Linked DNA regions of Alligator mississippiensis. The protein of the gene in region 2 purifies or fractionates together with the protein of the main gene of each other region. This does not show direct contact. Links are inferred from orthologs where the notes say so. Each region holds a gene or a part of one and is shown on either strand. Other genes may lie near its edges.

What was found. Proteins that work in one complex are often made in the same cells at the same time.
Region 1: the proteins of CUEDC1 (region 2) and SMURF2 purify together in Homo sapiens (co-immunoprecipitation; 3 studies listed by BioGRID and IntAct, with this or other methods). This does not show direct contact. The link is inferred for Alligator mississippiensis from reciprocal best matches to the Homo sapiens genes CUEDC1 and SMURF2.

The regions. Positions count from the first base shown.
Region 1 is NC_081831.1:6,313,929-6,322,230, reverse strand, and holds the start of SMURF2 (E3 ubiquitin-protein ligase SMURF2), read right to left. Parts: upstream 3,267-8,302; 5' UTR 3,125-3,266; coding exon 3,073-3,124; intron 1-3,072. UniProt on the Homo sapiens protein: E3 ubiquitin-protein ligase which accepts ubiquitin from an E2 ubiquitin-conjugating enzyme in the form of a thioester and then directly transfers the ubiquitin to targeted substrates.
Region 2 is NC_081837.1:6,110,425-6,117,806, forward strand, and holds the start of CUEDC1 (CUE domain-containing protein 1), read left to right. Parts: upstream 1-4,251; 5' UTR 4,252-4,480; intron 4,481-4,722; exon of another isoform or gene 4,723-4,815; intron 4,816-7,382.

The DNA.
Region 1 (8,302 bases), on a different chromosome or scaffold from region 2:
GTTTTGAAAAGTAGGACTTTTTTGGTTCAGCACTACAGACCCTAGTGTGAAGTACAATGCCATCTTTGTATGAAGAAAAATGAACATTTCACAGACTCAACAGAAGACACAGTAAAACAAAAGATGAGACACTGGCAGTTTTATAGAAAAGAGATCTAATTTCTCCATGTTTTTGTCAAGGCTCCACAAGTGTACAGTAAAAGGGGAAGGCAGGCCCTCTACTGACCTCCCCAGACTGTCCAGTGTGAATTGTTTCTCATTCCTAACCCACAAGGGACTGTTATTCTACTTCTAGTTTTCTCTCTGGAAAAGTTTACCAATTATGCTATGCCACAAATACCACACAAGTTGGCAAGTAACCACAAGGGACTATGCAAAGGTGATCAATCCAGTCTGTCCGTCACCTTTCCCCAATATGTATGAGGTTATACCACAATAATTAACAGATTTCACTTACATTTTTGTGATTTTTTCTAGGTTTCAAAAATTACTGGTGTCATTTTGATTGATATTCTCCTCGCAAGTACAAAAAGATTTTTTTTGGCGATTTCTTAGTTGGGCTAATAAAAGATATCATCTCTGAACCAAGAGTTCTAGAGAGTTTTGCATTTCTTTTTGTCTCAGACCAACATAGCTACCAAATATATCCCTAAGTAAAGGCACTTAAAGTCACTGCATTTACTATTTTAAAAGGTAAATCATAAATTACAGCCCAAATGTACTTACTGGACACTACTGGAAAACCAACTTTTCAGCTGTATGCAATATGCTTGTCTAGTCCTCAAAGAATAAAAGATTCTCCCTACCCACACTGCACTGTATTAATACTGTATTCCAAGCAAACATTGTGATATTCCTACTGTAATAGTATATTCCAACCGAAAACTCAAAGTTTCAGCTTGAGCCAGTTTTCAAGTAGTTTAGATTCACTTCCACATTCAAGAAATCATGGAAGTTCTGACTAGTTACAAAAATAAAAAATAAATCACATCAGAAAACTGAAGTGGGGGGAAAGCTGGAGTCTTTAAATCAGTGCAGCATAATGTGTTCTAAGGACTAGATAAAACTGGCAAAAAACATCCATGGCTGCAGAAGCCCAGTCTACTCTACTGGTCCAAGGGACAGAACTGAGGAAGTGGTAGCAAGACTGGAAAGCTTTGGGAAACACAGTTACATACACAACCTATGACCAACTTCTGAGCTGACACTAGCTTGAATTATACTGGTTACGTTCTTAATGAAATCCAGCATTTATTATTCTCATGAGAAATCTTCACCAGGCTACTTTTGCAGATTTTTGTAACTGTCTACTATCCAGCAACTTTCTGGCTCAGGGCTGTGCCTGAGACTCCGATGTGTGTCATTAAGGGATTAGGGGATACTTATGACATACAAATAAAGCTAAAAGCAACAGAAGAAACAGCCGGGATGCACTGTAAGCTAAATACAAACTTACTAGAAGTATGCCACCACAGTGGTTTTTCCTCTATTCTGGAACCCAGACCTAAATAAACCGTTAAACACTTAGTGTAAAGGTATGCCAAACATTTCTCAGAACTCACTTAAGGTCCCAACAAAGAATCAACCTTTTCTGCAAAACGAGGCCTAGGTTAAATATTTTATTTGGCTCCTCGAGATGGACCAAGAGGTTGGGCATTAGCTCCAGATCAGTTCTTGGACTCGCATCAAACACTACCCTGCCATTTATCCAGTCAGTCAAAACTATGTTTTCTATCTAAACCTTTAATGTTTATGTCCTGAAAAAAAAAAAATGCTAATTGAATCCAGTTCTTGAAATCCATTTTTTTTCATTTATACCATCTCATTTAGAGATAACAAACAGAAAATAAGTCAGTATTACACATTGATTATCGAATGAATCCTTGAAGCGTTCAAGCCAAAACAGAAGACTGCTAGTTTCATAAAGACAAAGAAAATTAGGATTATACACCATGGGGCAGATCTGAAGAGTAAACTACTTTAAAAAAAACCATATGCATTTTAACTCCAGTCAGTGCGAGCACTCAAGGGTCCTTGCGCTGCTTTTCCCAGTCGAAAAGGACCATCAAAACCACACCGAGTACTTGCCTGGGAAGAGACGCGAGACCTGACAACACGTCCATTCAATTCAGTGCTTCTAACAACTTTCCCAAAGCGCGTACAACTTCCTTATAACAAGCGACGCGACGTTTCAACCAGGTTACAGCAGACCCGGTCCAAAATACCTCCATCCCCTCCAATGGTCCTTCCCGAGACAAGCCGACGTTTCCCAAAACATCTCCGGTCGCTCCCCGGACAGCTGCTAACGCTGGAAGATGCTCGTTCGAGACCCTATCTCCTGCCCTCGTCTTTCTGGGCTCGTTAAAAAGCGAACGCAAAGACAACACAACGAAAAACGCACACTCCTTTTGCGGACTGCCCGCCCGCCCGCCCGGCTTCCTTACGCGGCGCCCCGCGGCTTATTTTTTTTGCCCAGACTCATAATCCTCTGCGGCGTCTTTACGCAGGAGAGGAGGACGCCCCGGCTCCTTCGTGAGATCCACGGATTGTTTTAAATAAATGGCTCAATAAAACACACGGGTTCCCCCGCACCCTGCAAACTTTTCCAGGTTATTTTTTTTTAAAAAGACTCGCTCTTCCTCCTCAGGGGGGGAAAAAAACCCCCTCGCTCGCAAAATCCTTGCCCCAGTCGGGTTCAGAGGAGTTTGGCTGCCGCGGCGCGACACGAGCTGGCCGCGAGCGGGGCTGCTCTGACTGCACGAAACGGGCCGACAAAATAAAACCGGGGTTTGTTTTTGGGTTTTTTTTTCCTCAGATTCAACAATTTTTTTTTAAATTATTATTATTATTTTTTTTTTTTAAATAATTTTTCCGGGACTCGCAGAAGTGACAGGGCTGGGGGTGGGGGGCAGGCGGCGGGAGCCCGGACAAAAGAGGCCGCCGCACTCGGGGCGAGTTCCGCCGGGCCGGGCCCTCGGCTCGGCTCGGCTCGGCTCGCCTCACGCGGCGGGTCCCCCCCCGCCCCGCTCCGCCCACAGGCCCGGCCCGGCCCGGCCCGGCCCGGCGCCTCACCTGTCAGCCGCAGCTTGACGGGCCCGTTCCTCCGCGCGCCCGGGTTGGACATGTCGCCGCCGCGCCCCGCGCCGGGCCCGGCCTAATGGAGTCGCGCGGGGCGCTCAGGGCAGCGGCGGCGGCCGGAGGAGGAGGAGGAGAGGCCCGGATGTGCCCAGCGGCGCCATGAGCGGGGCCGGCGCCGGGGAGGAGGAGGAGGAGGAGGAGGAGGAGGCACCTCCCCCTCCCCCGTCCCGCCCCCTCCCATGCTGGGGGGCGGGGTCAACCGCCGCTTGCCCCTCGCCCTGCCCGGGGTGGGGGAGGGGAGGGGAGGGGGTGCAGCCGTGTGGCCCCCAGCCCCGCACCCCGCTGTTCTCCTGACAAATAATCCTGAAGAGACAATAACCCCGAAGAGACAAACGGAGGACATCAAGGCGTCGGGCTCGGCATCGAGACAGGACGACCGGGCTGGCCTCGATGACAGAGACTCAACCTCCGTCCTCTGTCGGTGCCAAACCCCGCGCCTCCGTGTCCTCCGTTTTTCTCTTCGAGATTGGTTTTGGAAAACCGGGCGTCTGCCCGTGACCTTTCCGTACTGACCGTCGTATCCGCGCTTGACCTCTGTCCTCCGTCGATACCGAAACCGGATGCCTTGATGTCCTCCGTTTTTCTCTGGAAGATTATGTTCTCTTCCAGATGATTTTTCAAGAGAGAAAGAGAGGACGTCGAGGCGTCCGGCTTGGTATTGATAGGGGATGGAGGACAACCGGGCTGTCCTTGATGACAGCCGCCTGTGACCTTTCTGTACCAAACGTCGCATCCAAACTTCAACCTCGTTCCTTGAGGCTGGAAAGGGAAGGAACGGGCGAATCTCACGTGGCTCTTCAAGAGGAAAATCGAGGGCATAAAGGCGTCCGGTTTTGTATCAAGAGAGGGCGAGCGGGCTGTCCTCGATGACGGCCGCCCTACGACAGACACTTGACCTCCGTCCTCTGTTGATACGAAACCGGACACCCTTATGTCCTCTATTTTTCTCTTGAAAAATAACCTCAAAGAGAAAAATAGAGGACATAAAGGCGCCGGGTTTCGTATCAATAGAGGACAACCAGACTGTCCTCGATGACGGCCACCCTAGCTGGAAGGGAGGGGAGGTCTGGCTATAAAGCACTTCCCCGGGACATAGAAATGGGAGGAAGATGTTTGCAATCAACAGGGAGATGGGGAGGCACGGGTTTCTATCTCAAAAAAGGAAAGATGCAAAATTAAAAGGGTTTTACAGGCCCCGATATAAAGGCAAGTGCCCCTATGGAGACTGAGGGGTCCCTGGCTCCTTCAGTAGGTCCACAGGTCAGCGGGACTGTTGGAGGAGCTGGGAAATCGCGGGAAGGAAGGGCTGTGTATGGTCATTGGGCCGTTCGGGCTTAGACTGTTTATCTGCGATGTAGATGCATTTTCAGCCAAGATAGTTCCCATATGCCATCACCGTTCTCCAAAAAGATAAGAATCGGCTTGCATCCCAAGTCTATATTCGAATTTAACTTCTTGTTTCCGTCTTCCAGATGCTGCGGGAACTACTCCAGAAATGTCCAGGCTTTGTAGCGCACCAGGGGGCACTACAATAGCAGCAGGGCACAGACAGGCAAGTTAACAAGAAGAAATAAATCTCAGCTTTTTGTAAAAGGTCCATTTCGGGATGATCGTAAAAGGTCCATTTCAAGACGATCACCAAATCATAGAGCAGGAGGGCTGGAAGGGACCTCCAGAGGTCCCTCGTCCAACTAGGTCCCTAGTCATCTAGTCCAGCAGTTCTCAGCCTTTTGCACCTTATGCCCCACCAACCATTTGGTCAAAAAACCCTGGTCCTACCACGATAAAAACAAAACCCCACAAAATTGCACTGTTGGAGACATCTGTTGATTCACCTATTTGACGTGCAAACAACTGATTTTTTTCAATCGGGCAATGAGTTGAAGTCCCATCTACATGACCTTCAAGTCCCACTGGTTGGGAAACACTGATCTAGTCCAACCCCCTGCCTGAGGCAGGATCATCCTTATCCAAACTACCCTGTGCAATCAATCATCTGAACCCTACCGCAAACCCTGACACAGTGCAGACCTAGCACCCTAACCTGCCACAGGCCGAGCAGAGGAACCACAGCAGCCAACATCCTTCTTCTATGAAGCGTTGTCAATGCATGCTCAAGTGATCCTGGGTAGAGGGCCATGCCCCCCGCTACAGAGGAAAGCAAAAGCCCCCACAGTCTATGTCAATCTGAACACAAGATAAAATTCCTTCCTGACCCCAAATATAGTGATCGGTCTGACCCTGAGCGAAGGAGCAAGACCCGCTAGCCAGGAACCTCCAGCTTTTGTCCCAGCAGGAACGTTGGCACAGCCCAGTCAAAGTCGCCAGCCTTGAGTGCAGCCAACACCCAATGCCTCTGCTGCCAAGTAGGAGATCGCTGCCTATGTTTGACACGTCTTCCAAGACAGCTAGTTTAATAGGGCTTTGTGACATAGGTCCCATTCTGCTGAGGCACTCCACAGTATCACTTGTATTATCACAGCACTTAGGAGCACTAGTCACAGCACAGGACCCTTGTAGTAGGTGCTCTACAAACACAAAACAAAAAGACAGTCTGTTCCTTATATGTCTAGAGAGCGCCTAGCATATCATGCCACAACGGAATTAATAATATATCTATTTAAACCCACGCAGTCTGTTAGGTTTGAGGATCGAGTGATCATTAAAAATAAGAAACAAACACCAAAAAGTTGCTGGCTAGTACATATGCCCTACACAACAATGATTTCTGCCAAAAACTGCAAAATGCTTCTGGGGAATATGTTCCTTGAAGCAACTCTTCCTCATCGAATTCAGCCTACAACTTGCATAGTAAATTGATCCTGAACATGCCTTTTTGATGTGTCTGGGAACTACACGAGAACTTTAAGAAGAGGTTTTTACACTCGGGGTGCTCCTCGCGTGCTATCTGTGGAATAATTATAAGTTCTACATTGTACGAGATGCTGCTATTGATGTAATTCCATTGGGTCACGCTGACCTCAGTAAAAATGCTGCAGCTCTTCCATTTGCAGGGTTTCAGATGTCTGGTTCTTTGCATCATTAAAAAGGTTATGAAACTTGCATGCATAATAGCTCTTTTCAAACAGTACAAAATTGGATTGATTAATTGCTTGAGAAATTCTAGTTTCTAAGAAGTATAAAAGTAACATTTTTTTTCCATGTCTGACTTGGCCAAAGTACTTGAAAGTGCCAAAAACATTTAAAAACTGTCTGTTCAGATAACTCATGGCCTGACATTTAGAGGTGCTCAGCATCTCTGGAAAAGCTTGATTCAGAGCCCATTTAAGTAAATAGGATTCCTTTAATTGGCTTCCATAGGCTTTGGATCAGACCCGATGTCAGGCCAACAGTTACTAGCTGCCAACCATACTGAAGTTCTCTGGAATTTAACGGGGCTCGGCACAGGCTTGGGGGTCTGCACTAACAGATCTCAATGTAGGATTGGCATCGTACAATAGATTTAAAACATTACAGAATGGAATATTAGGATAAATTTAACACTAACTTAAAAAAAAAAAAAGACAGAGCCTGGAAAAAAAACCCTTCTTTCACCTAACTGGCGGTGATTAAATGCCACAGTGCCTTATAGTGTCAGAGTGCCCACGCAATTAGAGCTTGCACTTCTGCTCATTCCCAGAACTGTCCCAGGCTTGAGAGGGTAGAAGGGCCTAGTGCTTAGCTCATACCTACCCCTGAGCTAGGTGGGTAGGTATTTTCAGCATCCTCACGTACACTGGCAGAAACCACCACTTTCTTTTAGAGCATTGCTGCTGCCCTCTTATTAGAGCCTTGCGGTTAAAACACTTGTCCAGGAAGTGGAAGATTCATTCAGTTCTCTTTGCTGCCAAAGGATATTTAAACCACATCCCTGACTGCCTGTCCATGCAGTTCTGGGTGGGGCCCTCTCTATCCTGAAGAAGCTATTAACTTCTGAAAAGTATACAAGATGAACTGGGTCAGAGAAAAAGAAGCATAACCACTTACCTGGGAAGGGAGGGTCCTCAGTTACAGCCTCTGCTTCCAAGACTACCTCTATCCAATGACCATATAATGCAAAAATCATTGTCAGCTGATACAGGCTAAAGATGCATCTTTCTTCCTTCCTAGTGACACGTTAAGCAATGCACTGTGCTGTAAACAAGAAGCAGCTCATTGAAAAATGGAGTTAGAACAGAGGAGAAGAGATTCGGGAAAACTGGATTCGATTCTGCACCCCCCCTTGACTTCAAACCTTGTATCAAATAAGTCCCAATAGGTCTGCTAATTTTGCAGCTAATGTACAATATTACTAGAAACCATTCAATGGAGCTATAGTACCACAAAGGCATTTGGGGGGGGGGGGGGGGGGTTTAAACAGCAGACATTCAGTCTAGATAATTGAAGGTCAGACTAAAGTCAATCTGTTGCAAATTGAAATGGCCAAGTCATTATACTTTCTAAAAGTGGCTATATAAAGCAAACAGGAGTCAGTTTGCTAATATAGCAACATTACCTGACCACTGCAAAACTGAAAAAAAAAAAAGACAAAATGTAAAACCACTACTTGTGGTGTATCCAGTTTGTTTAACCTATTTTAATTTTAGAACTGAATTTTAGCTTTGCTATGAATTTTCTAACCTTTAGCTAGCGTTCGTTATAATATCTTGCTGTACCTGGATGCCACCTCGGTGTTTTACAGACAAGGAAGGGCTGAGGAAAACAGTCATTTTATCTCCTCCTGTATTTGCTAGCTCTGCAGGAGATCATTGGTATTATAATACAGTTGGGGTGGTATTGTAGATGTGATGGTCCAAGATATGTATGAAAGGCAAGGTTTTAGTGATACTTTTTATTAGACCAATATAGGTGGGAGAGAGAATAGATAAATTTAACCTCTGAAAGATGGGCCTGGAAACAAAAATCCATAAGCTTACTGAACACTAAAAATTATTGACTAAGCAGAGATAATGGCTTTATAACTCATTACAGTCTACCTGTTATCTCAGCTAACCTCTCTTCACTCTAAGGGTAATAATGACCCTTTTCCCTGTTGAATTATCTTGTTCCTCTACATGAGTAAACTGTCTAATCAATTAGATCCCCCTAATTTTGAAGCTACTTTGGATCATCTTTCTTTGCTACTACTTCACAACCTTCCTCCAATCCTTTAAATTACTGTTTT
Region 2 (7,382 bases):
AAACTACTCTAGCTTGTGCCATTTGCTTTAAGGGCCAAATACAGCAGCAGATGATGAGCAGCAGGAAAGAAAAAAACAAAAAAAAAAAAGAGGCATGGCATATGAACTGGTTCACTGACCTCTGCCACCAAAGCATCCCCTGCTCTGGGATGAATCTGGGTCAGGTTCGGGAACACTTTGCAGTGGTGGTATAGCACAAAGCAGTTGTAGGGCCGTGTCGAGTCTGGGAATTGTTAAGTGTAAATGTATCTTTTATCCAAGGAGCTAGAATGATGCTGAAAAATTATAGCTCCTTCTGGATATTCCATACACCCTATTAAAAAGAAAAAAGACCCTTAACACTAAATACAAAATAAGCATTTAAGCAACAGCACCAAGCTGTCTTGATGTGTCGACTCCAAATCAATTTAGGGTTAAGGCCAATCTTTTGCCTAAAGTTTTTTTTTTTTTTTAATCTTACCAGTGATTTGAGATCCTTCAGTTTTTTGGGCATCTGAAGTGACAGCACTCTGAAAATCAGATGCCTGTAAGATATTTCAATGTGGGCTCCTGAAATGAGTAATTAATCTTGCCAGTGTAGGCCCCACATTTAACTGGTAAACTTAAAATAAGTTTATCTAGTTTGTTTAATTAGAGGAGAAAAATGGCTATAATCTTCAGAGCATGTTTTATGAGAATGCCGTGGTTCAGAGCGAAGGCAGGACTGCTAGCTTAATTTAGAGGCATTGGCAACTGTGTATAAAAAACACACATTCTGTGTTTCACATGCAATCTTTCTTTTCAAGTGATGATTTAATTAGCTGGATCTGTCTGAATTAAAATCCACTCACTGAATTCCTCTGAGTTTTACACTTCTACTCCCATATGCTGTGGCTGCTCAGTGTTGTTAGCAACTGTGACCCTAATCCCACTGCAACAGGGATGCTGACGCACACAGTGATAATATTCTATTACCAGCAGAAAGTTCCCTCGGAAACAAACCTGGAGCAGAAAACAAGAGGTCAGGCTGCAGCTTACCGCGAGTGTATTAGCATCTGGAAGGCATTGCCCAGGTTGGTTGGCATTTAACTTTGCAAAGTTAAATATTTATGGCAATGTGCATTTGTAATTTTTAAAAGTCAAAGGGAGCCTTGGTACTGATGTTCCTAGTGAATGCCTAGCCCTGAGCTTTCAATGTCTTATGTATTTTTATCCCGGGCTGCAGTTTCCCGTTCAGTCAGGGTGGGAGAGCCCGCCAGAATGAATTCCACCTCTGCGCCCAAGTGCTTTGTGTTGTCTAAATCCTACATACATGCCCAAGATAGGGTTTAAACGGGGTGTATAAACCTTGTGCTGGGCCCTCTGCGTAGGGTGACTTTAATCTGCCATGTCTGAGGCACTGCTTAAATCCTTATCTCTCCTGCCTCCAGGAGGAGGATTAATGCAGAGAAGTTGTACCAGGCTTGATGGTGGAACTGTAACAGCAGGAGCCTCCATGATTCCCTCCAGTGCATCTCCACATGGGGTTGAGAGCTGTTTTCACTAGCAGTTGTGAACAGTTGCTCTCACACATTAGTGACGGGAGCCATATAGCAACCCTGGTAGGTAAACACTTGGATGCATCAGTGCTTGGTTCAGTGCCAGATGCTGTGCTAATGGACACAGCTGAATTATTCAGGGCCAGATCCTGCCTCCATCCATAACAATAGGAGTTTGCCATTATGCATAAATAGATGTCCCCGGTATCTCGCTCTTATTCTCTCTGCATCTATAATGCATCAATGCTCTTACTGGGAATTCATAGCATTTTTTGGAGAAAAAGTAAATGAATAAAGGATGTTTGGGGAAGACCAACATTATTTGCAATTTGGGGTTCAATGTGACGCACAGTTTCAGCCACAAAAAATGGGGCTAGGGGAGGGATAGAAAAGTGGAAAACATTGCCAGGGTAAAAATTAACATTTTGAAATGTTTAGAAAGAGCAGGTCATTTGAGAAAAGTCAAAACATGGGTTTTTTTGGTCTTTTCTAAATACATTTCAGTGTTCAATTTAAAAGACACTTTCCACTAAAAAACTACAAAAATAAAAGGTGAAATAATCCAGAAAAAAAAATTAAAAACATTTATTATTTTCTTTTCTACATAAAAATGTTGTAATGCTCATTTTAAAAAACAGTTTTCTGTCAAAACTACAAAAAAAAAAAAAATCACCAAATTAAAAAAAAAAAGGAGAGGGGGGAGTTTAAATAATCCAGAAAAACAAATCTAAATATCTTGATTTTGATAGAATAAAACATTTGAGGTTCACCCCTAAATTACTGTTATTGTTAACAGGGTCCTTGGCCATCTGCTCTGAGGCTGAGCCAATCTCAGATGTGATGTTAGAGATCACTGAGAAGCCTCCGCACCGGATGCCCACGTACCTCCACGTGGCTACTGAATTCAAGATTCAGTCGTATAGATTCAAGCCAGAGTCATATAGCCCTGGCGTGGTTTTAATTTAAAAAGAAAAAAATAGCTGATTTTATGGAAAAACCATTTTTGACCCGTTCAAAAAAAAAAAAAAAATTCAGCCAGTCCACCTCTCCCTACTGCCCAGACTTGAGTCAAGTTCCCAGATGGCCCCTCCACAGGGAGCACTGCCCTGATGTCCTCGTCTGCTTGGCTGTTGCATTGTACCTAAACTACCCCTGTCCTCAAGCCTCAGAAAAGACTGCTTCCTGCCCCATACTGTGAAGAGGTGTGGCTGTGAGCTGTTAAACCTCTCCAGATACACTGGCTGAAGAGATACTTCATGGTAGCATCTCTCACAGGAAGCACTCAGCCAGGGTGACTGTCCTCTCCTCTAACGCATCAGCAACACGCTGCTGGGGCTCAGTCTAGCTGGCTCCTTTTGGAAGGCACTTTGGGAGCTGTCAGGAAGAGGTGCTGGACCAGCCCTCGAAAACCGTTGAAACAAATTCCCTTCAGATTCTCGCACCTCACTTTTTACCCTGGTAACCGGCCAACGCATTGCAATGGGACTTGCTTGGCCCTTGGAAAGAAACATCTGTCTGCAGCTGGTTGCAAGCAGAGGACAAAGCGCATGGTGCTGTGTTACATACCCAGGAACCACCAGACAATTTAGACGTGAGAATATGGATCTCGGGGCTGCTACTGCTTTGCGCCAGGGTAACGATAGGCCGCACCGAGCTGCTGCTGTCATCCAGGTCACGAGGAGCATTGGGTGCATTAGTCGAAAGCAGTGATGCGCAGCCAGGGTACCGCCAGGTCCTTTGGGCATCCTGAGGTGTGAAGAGCAAAGCAGATAAATTCGGACTTAGGCTTGTCCCTGCCTGGACCATCTCCTACCCCAGCTGTCGGGCCTCTCTGCAAGGAGGTAAGCGCTATAATCCAGCAACTCATTTTTGGAACGGTGCCACTTAGTTCACAAAAGTTATGGACGGGGCCTCGTGTCCCAAAGGTTGTGAACCATTGGTCTTAACATCAGTGGGCCTTTTTAGGCCCTGAAGGAGGGTGCCGGTCCTCTGTAATCTGCTGCCAATACACTGCTGGGCAGGACCCGATTAACCCTTCAGCAGGCTCTAGACAAACTCATGGGCTCCTAATTTTTCTCGCTCAGTAATTATAACATGTAAAATAAGCACAACTGGGCCCCTTCTTTACTTACGGCTTGTGCTTACTTTGCCTACGCGTTCATCCGGCCCTGCTGCTGGGGCTCAGTAAAGCGGGCTCTGGCAGGTGCTTTGGGAGCCTTCAGGACTAGAAGTGCTAGATGAGCCCTCGAAACCTGCTGAAACAAATTCACTGCAGAGTCTCACACCTCACCTTTAAAGGGTGCCTAAAAGCTACTGTTGCGTGGCACTACCCAGAAAGGAGACCCAGGCTGGAAGTGGTCTCCTTCTTGGACACCATTAGTTTTCCATGCTGGCCCTCCCTTCTAGCCAGCAATGGGGGAAGGTGGTGTGCTCAGGATACTCTTGACCACAGGGATCACTGATTACTTTCCTTCCCTTCTCTGGGCTTCTCCCCCCTGGCACTCAGTGAAGAGGTGTTAATGACACCCTCCCCCCCCAAGCTCTCTCGGATCCCTGGGAGATGCGCTGTTAGGAGCCCGGAGATCAGCGGGGACCCCAGCTGCACGTGCCGGGGGTGCCGCTGCCCCCTCACCCGCCCCACCCGCGGCTTCCCTGCGCGGGGAGCTGCATTTCAGGCCGGCGGCCGCTAGGAAGCCGCTGCCTCCTCCCGCCGTGCCGGAGCTGAGCGCAGCCCCTGCCATTTCCGAGGATCCCCTCCCCACCCCCCTCACCCCCGCCTCCGGCAACCAGCCCCAGCCCCGGCGTGCGGGGGCAGAGCCTGAATCGCGGCTCCGGGGGAAGCTCGGGCGGGGCGGGGACGAGAGGCAGAGGGGTCTGCACGCCCCGCTCCCGCCCCTCCAGCCGCTGCCGGAGCCGAGCCGAGCCGAGCCGAGCCCCGCCGGCCTGGGAGTCGCCGCCGCCCGGTAAGGGAGGGTGGAACGTTGGGGACCGCGATGGAATGTTGGGAGCGGCGGTGGAACGCTGGGATCCCGGCGTGGAACGCTGGGGATCGCACTGTAGCCACTTGGCTCCCTTTGTGCGGCCGGGCAGCGATCCGATCCGGTCCGGTCCGGTCCCCCGGAGCCGGGCGGAGAGGCCCTCTCCGGCGTGCGAGCGCTGCGCGGGGATTTGTTTTGTCGGAGGCGGGGGAGGAAGGAGGCGGTTTTTTTGGGTTTTAGTTTTTTTTTTTTTTTTTAATCCAAGCGATCCCCGGCTTGGCAGGGCGGGGATCCCGGCAGCGCTGGGCACGGGGCGCCGGGTGAGTTGAAGGGAGGAAAGGGGCACGGTTGGGAGCTGCCGTCTGCGAGGGGCTGAGGCATCTTTCCCCTCCCGCAGATCGGGGGCTTTAGCTTCATCCCTCCCCACCGCCTTTGCTCCTATTACCCGGCTGAGATGTGTGATAGAGGAGGGGCGGCAGCAGCCCTGGGGTGGGTAAGAGCACCCCAAGAACCTCTGGCATCCCCCCTTCCCCAGCTCTCCCCAGAGCCTTGTTTCCCCACTCCCCACCCGCCTGCTTTGCAGTTGTTTCATGCTCTTTATTTTTCCAGGCCCTTGGAAAGTTGCATGCCAAGAAACTGAGTCCAAATCCTTCTCCAGCTCTTTGGGTGTCTGGCTGCCCATGCTGCTTAGTTTGAGACCTCAGCTGTTGGATGCCCTCAGTGTTTCAGGGAAGGGAAGTTGTTGTTGGTTTTCTGTTTCCTGGCTCCTTCAAATCCACCATGCCCGTTTGATGCCACCCAGGAGCGATCCTTTGCCAGTGAGATACTGGAGGGCTGCCCTTTATGCGGTGTGAAAGTTCAGGATTGCGCCCAATAGCAAACTGCCTTGTTGTCCTTGTTTTGCGTTTGGATTTGGAGTTGTCTTTCCGTGCCTAAAATTGTTTCTTAATGGTCCGAATCGCTGCAAGCCAATCGGCAGCTTGCATTTTGGTCACAGAGCCCTGGCACTGTTGCACGTTTCCCCTGTCAGATACAATGACACCCCCCCCCCATTAACCGTATGTTAGGCAGAACAGAAATTAAAAGAATTGTCGCTGGAAAAATGCATGCCGCTTTGTAAATAGATGCTGGAACCTCCCTCCAGCGCTTTTGATGAATTACTTTGTCTTCGCCGTGGTGTTTCTCACGTGTTACAAGACCGTTATCCTGTGACAACATTTTATTCCATTGACCTATCTTAATGAAATCTTTCTCATCCAATCAGATTACCAGAGGGTTGACCTAGATATCTAGATTCAAAGCCAGAATTCCAGTGCAGAAGTCAAATGCAAGGGAAAAAAAATTCAGCAGAACTCTTTGTCTAGCGAAGATGGCTGTTTTTGGAAAACGACTTTGCTTTTCATTTGTCGCTCACTCCAACTGGATCCGCACGTTGCCTTGGAACTGTTTGAGTCTGATAGAAGGTAGAGAAGGAAACAAACTATTGCGCCGATTTATCTCAGTACCTTTCCCACATTTGTTTTCAGCCTCCGAATGCGCAGTACTTATACTGAGTCCATGGGACTATTCCCATTACTAGGGCTAGCTGGGTAGATTCCCAGGTCTCTGGTGAGTTCTGCTGTGGCTGTCATTTCTAATATTTACTGGTGAGAGGGGTCCTGTTTTTGACAGGCTCTGCCATAGGGATCTATTTTCTATAAAGAAAGGTAAATTGTAATGATCTTAATTTATAATAATCATGCACTGACTGCAATTTAAGATGCTATATGGACAGTCTGCACCTGTAGAGCTAACCGTTTAAACAAGAGGGAGGGAATCGATTGGCTAAACTGAGAAACTCAGGAGGGCTTAGGAAGGGGTAGGATGTCTATATCCAATTGGTCTACACTAAGCTGTAGTGATTGGGTCTGCCGCACTAATAATTCTTGGCACTCGCTGTTTGTTTTATTTGATGTCGTTAGTTCCCTACCCCCCATGCACTTGCCTTTAATTTATTTTTGCATGATCTAAAACCAAAGGAAAAATAAGCCCTCTCTAGCAGTGGTGGAAATGTACTGCTCCAGTGACTGTAAGTAAAAGGGGCAGGGTTTGCACCCTCCTCTTGTTTGGACGGGGCCTGACACAGTGGCGCCCTGTCCCCGAGCACTCCAAAGTAAATAATAACTTGATTTATCTGTTGCTTTGCTGCTTCCTCTAATACGTGCCTTTGGAAAGCAGGCGCCACCTTTAACTCGGCTTCCTTCCATGCACCTCTTCTCTCTGATGGAAGTACTGCACGGGTTGCGGGGGGAGTAGCCATATTCTTGGTGCTACTTGTCTGCTCTTCTTGGGCCAGCTCCACTGACAGCCACCACTGATGCATACACACGCACAGAAGGGGATTCGGGCATCAGCTACTCAGATACCACAGTGCTGAAGCCCAGGATAAATGCCAAGACAGCTATTCCTTGTGACCTGCTGCAGCTGGCACCTTTCTCTTCCCATGTGCTTGCAAGCAACATGTGTGCAGGACAAGTCTGGGGTCTGGGACATTGTGGGGTTATCTTTTTGTTGGCTCCAGGTTGGCTGCTTTGGCTGTGTCTCTGCTGCTCTGCTACAGTGCCGGGAGACACCCTGCTGAGATGTCGGGCTCACTTTGTGTGTGTTACCTCCTGACCTGGAAGAAGCCTGCCCGCCTACATGCTGCCTGGCCTGTTTGTTCAGAGGCCCTGTCTCTCAGCGCAGCTTGCTGGCATGCTAACACAGCTATGCCCTGCTTCAGGAGCGAGTGCAGCGTCCCCCAGGATGGTGCCGCCTGGCATCAGAACTGGGGGATGGCGACGGACCCTTTGTGTCCCTCGATGCAAGTCTGCTGTTGTCTGAAAGCTCGCCAAGCTCTTGTGCTGCA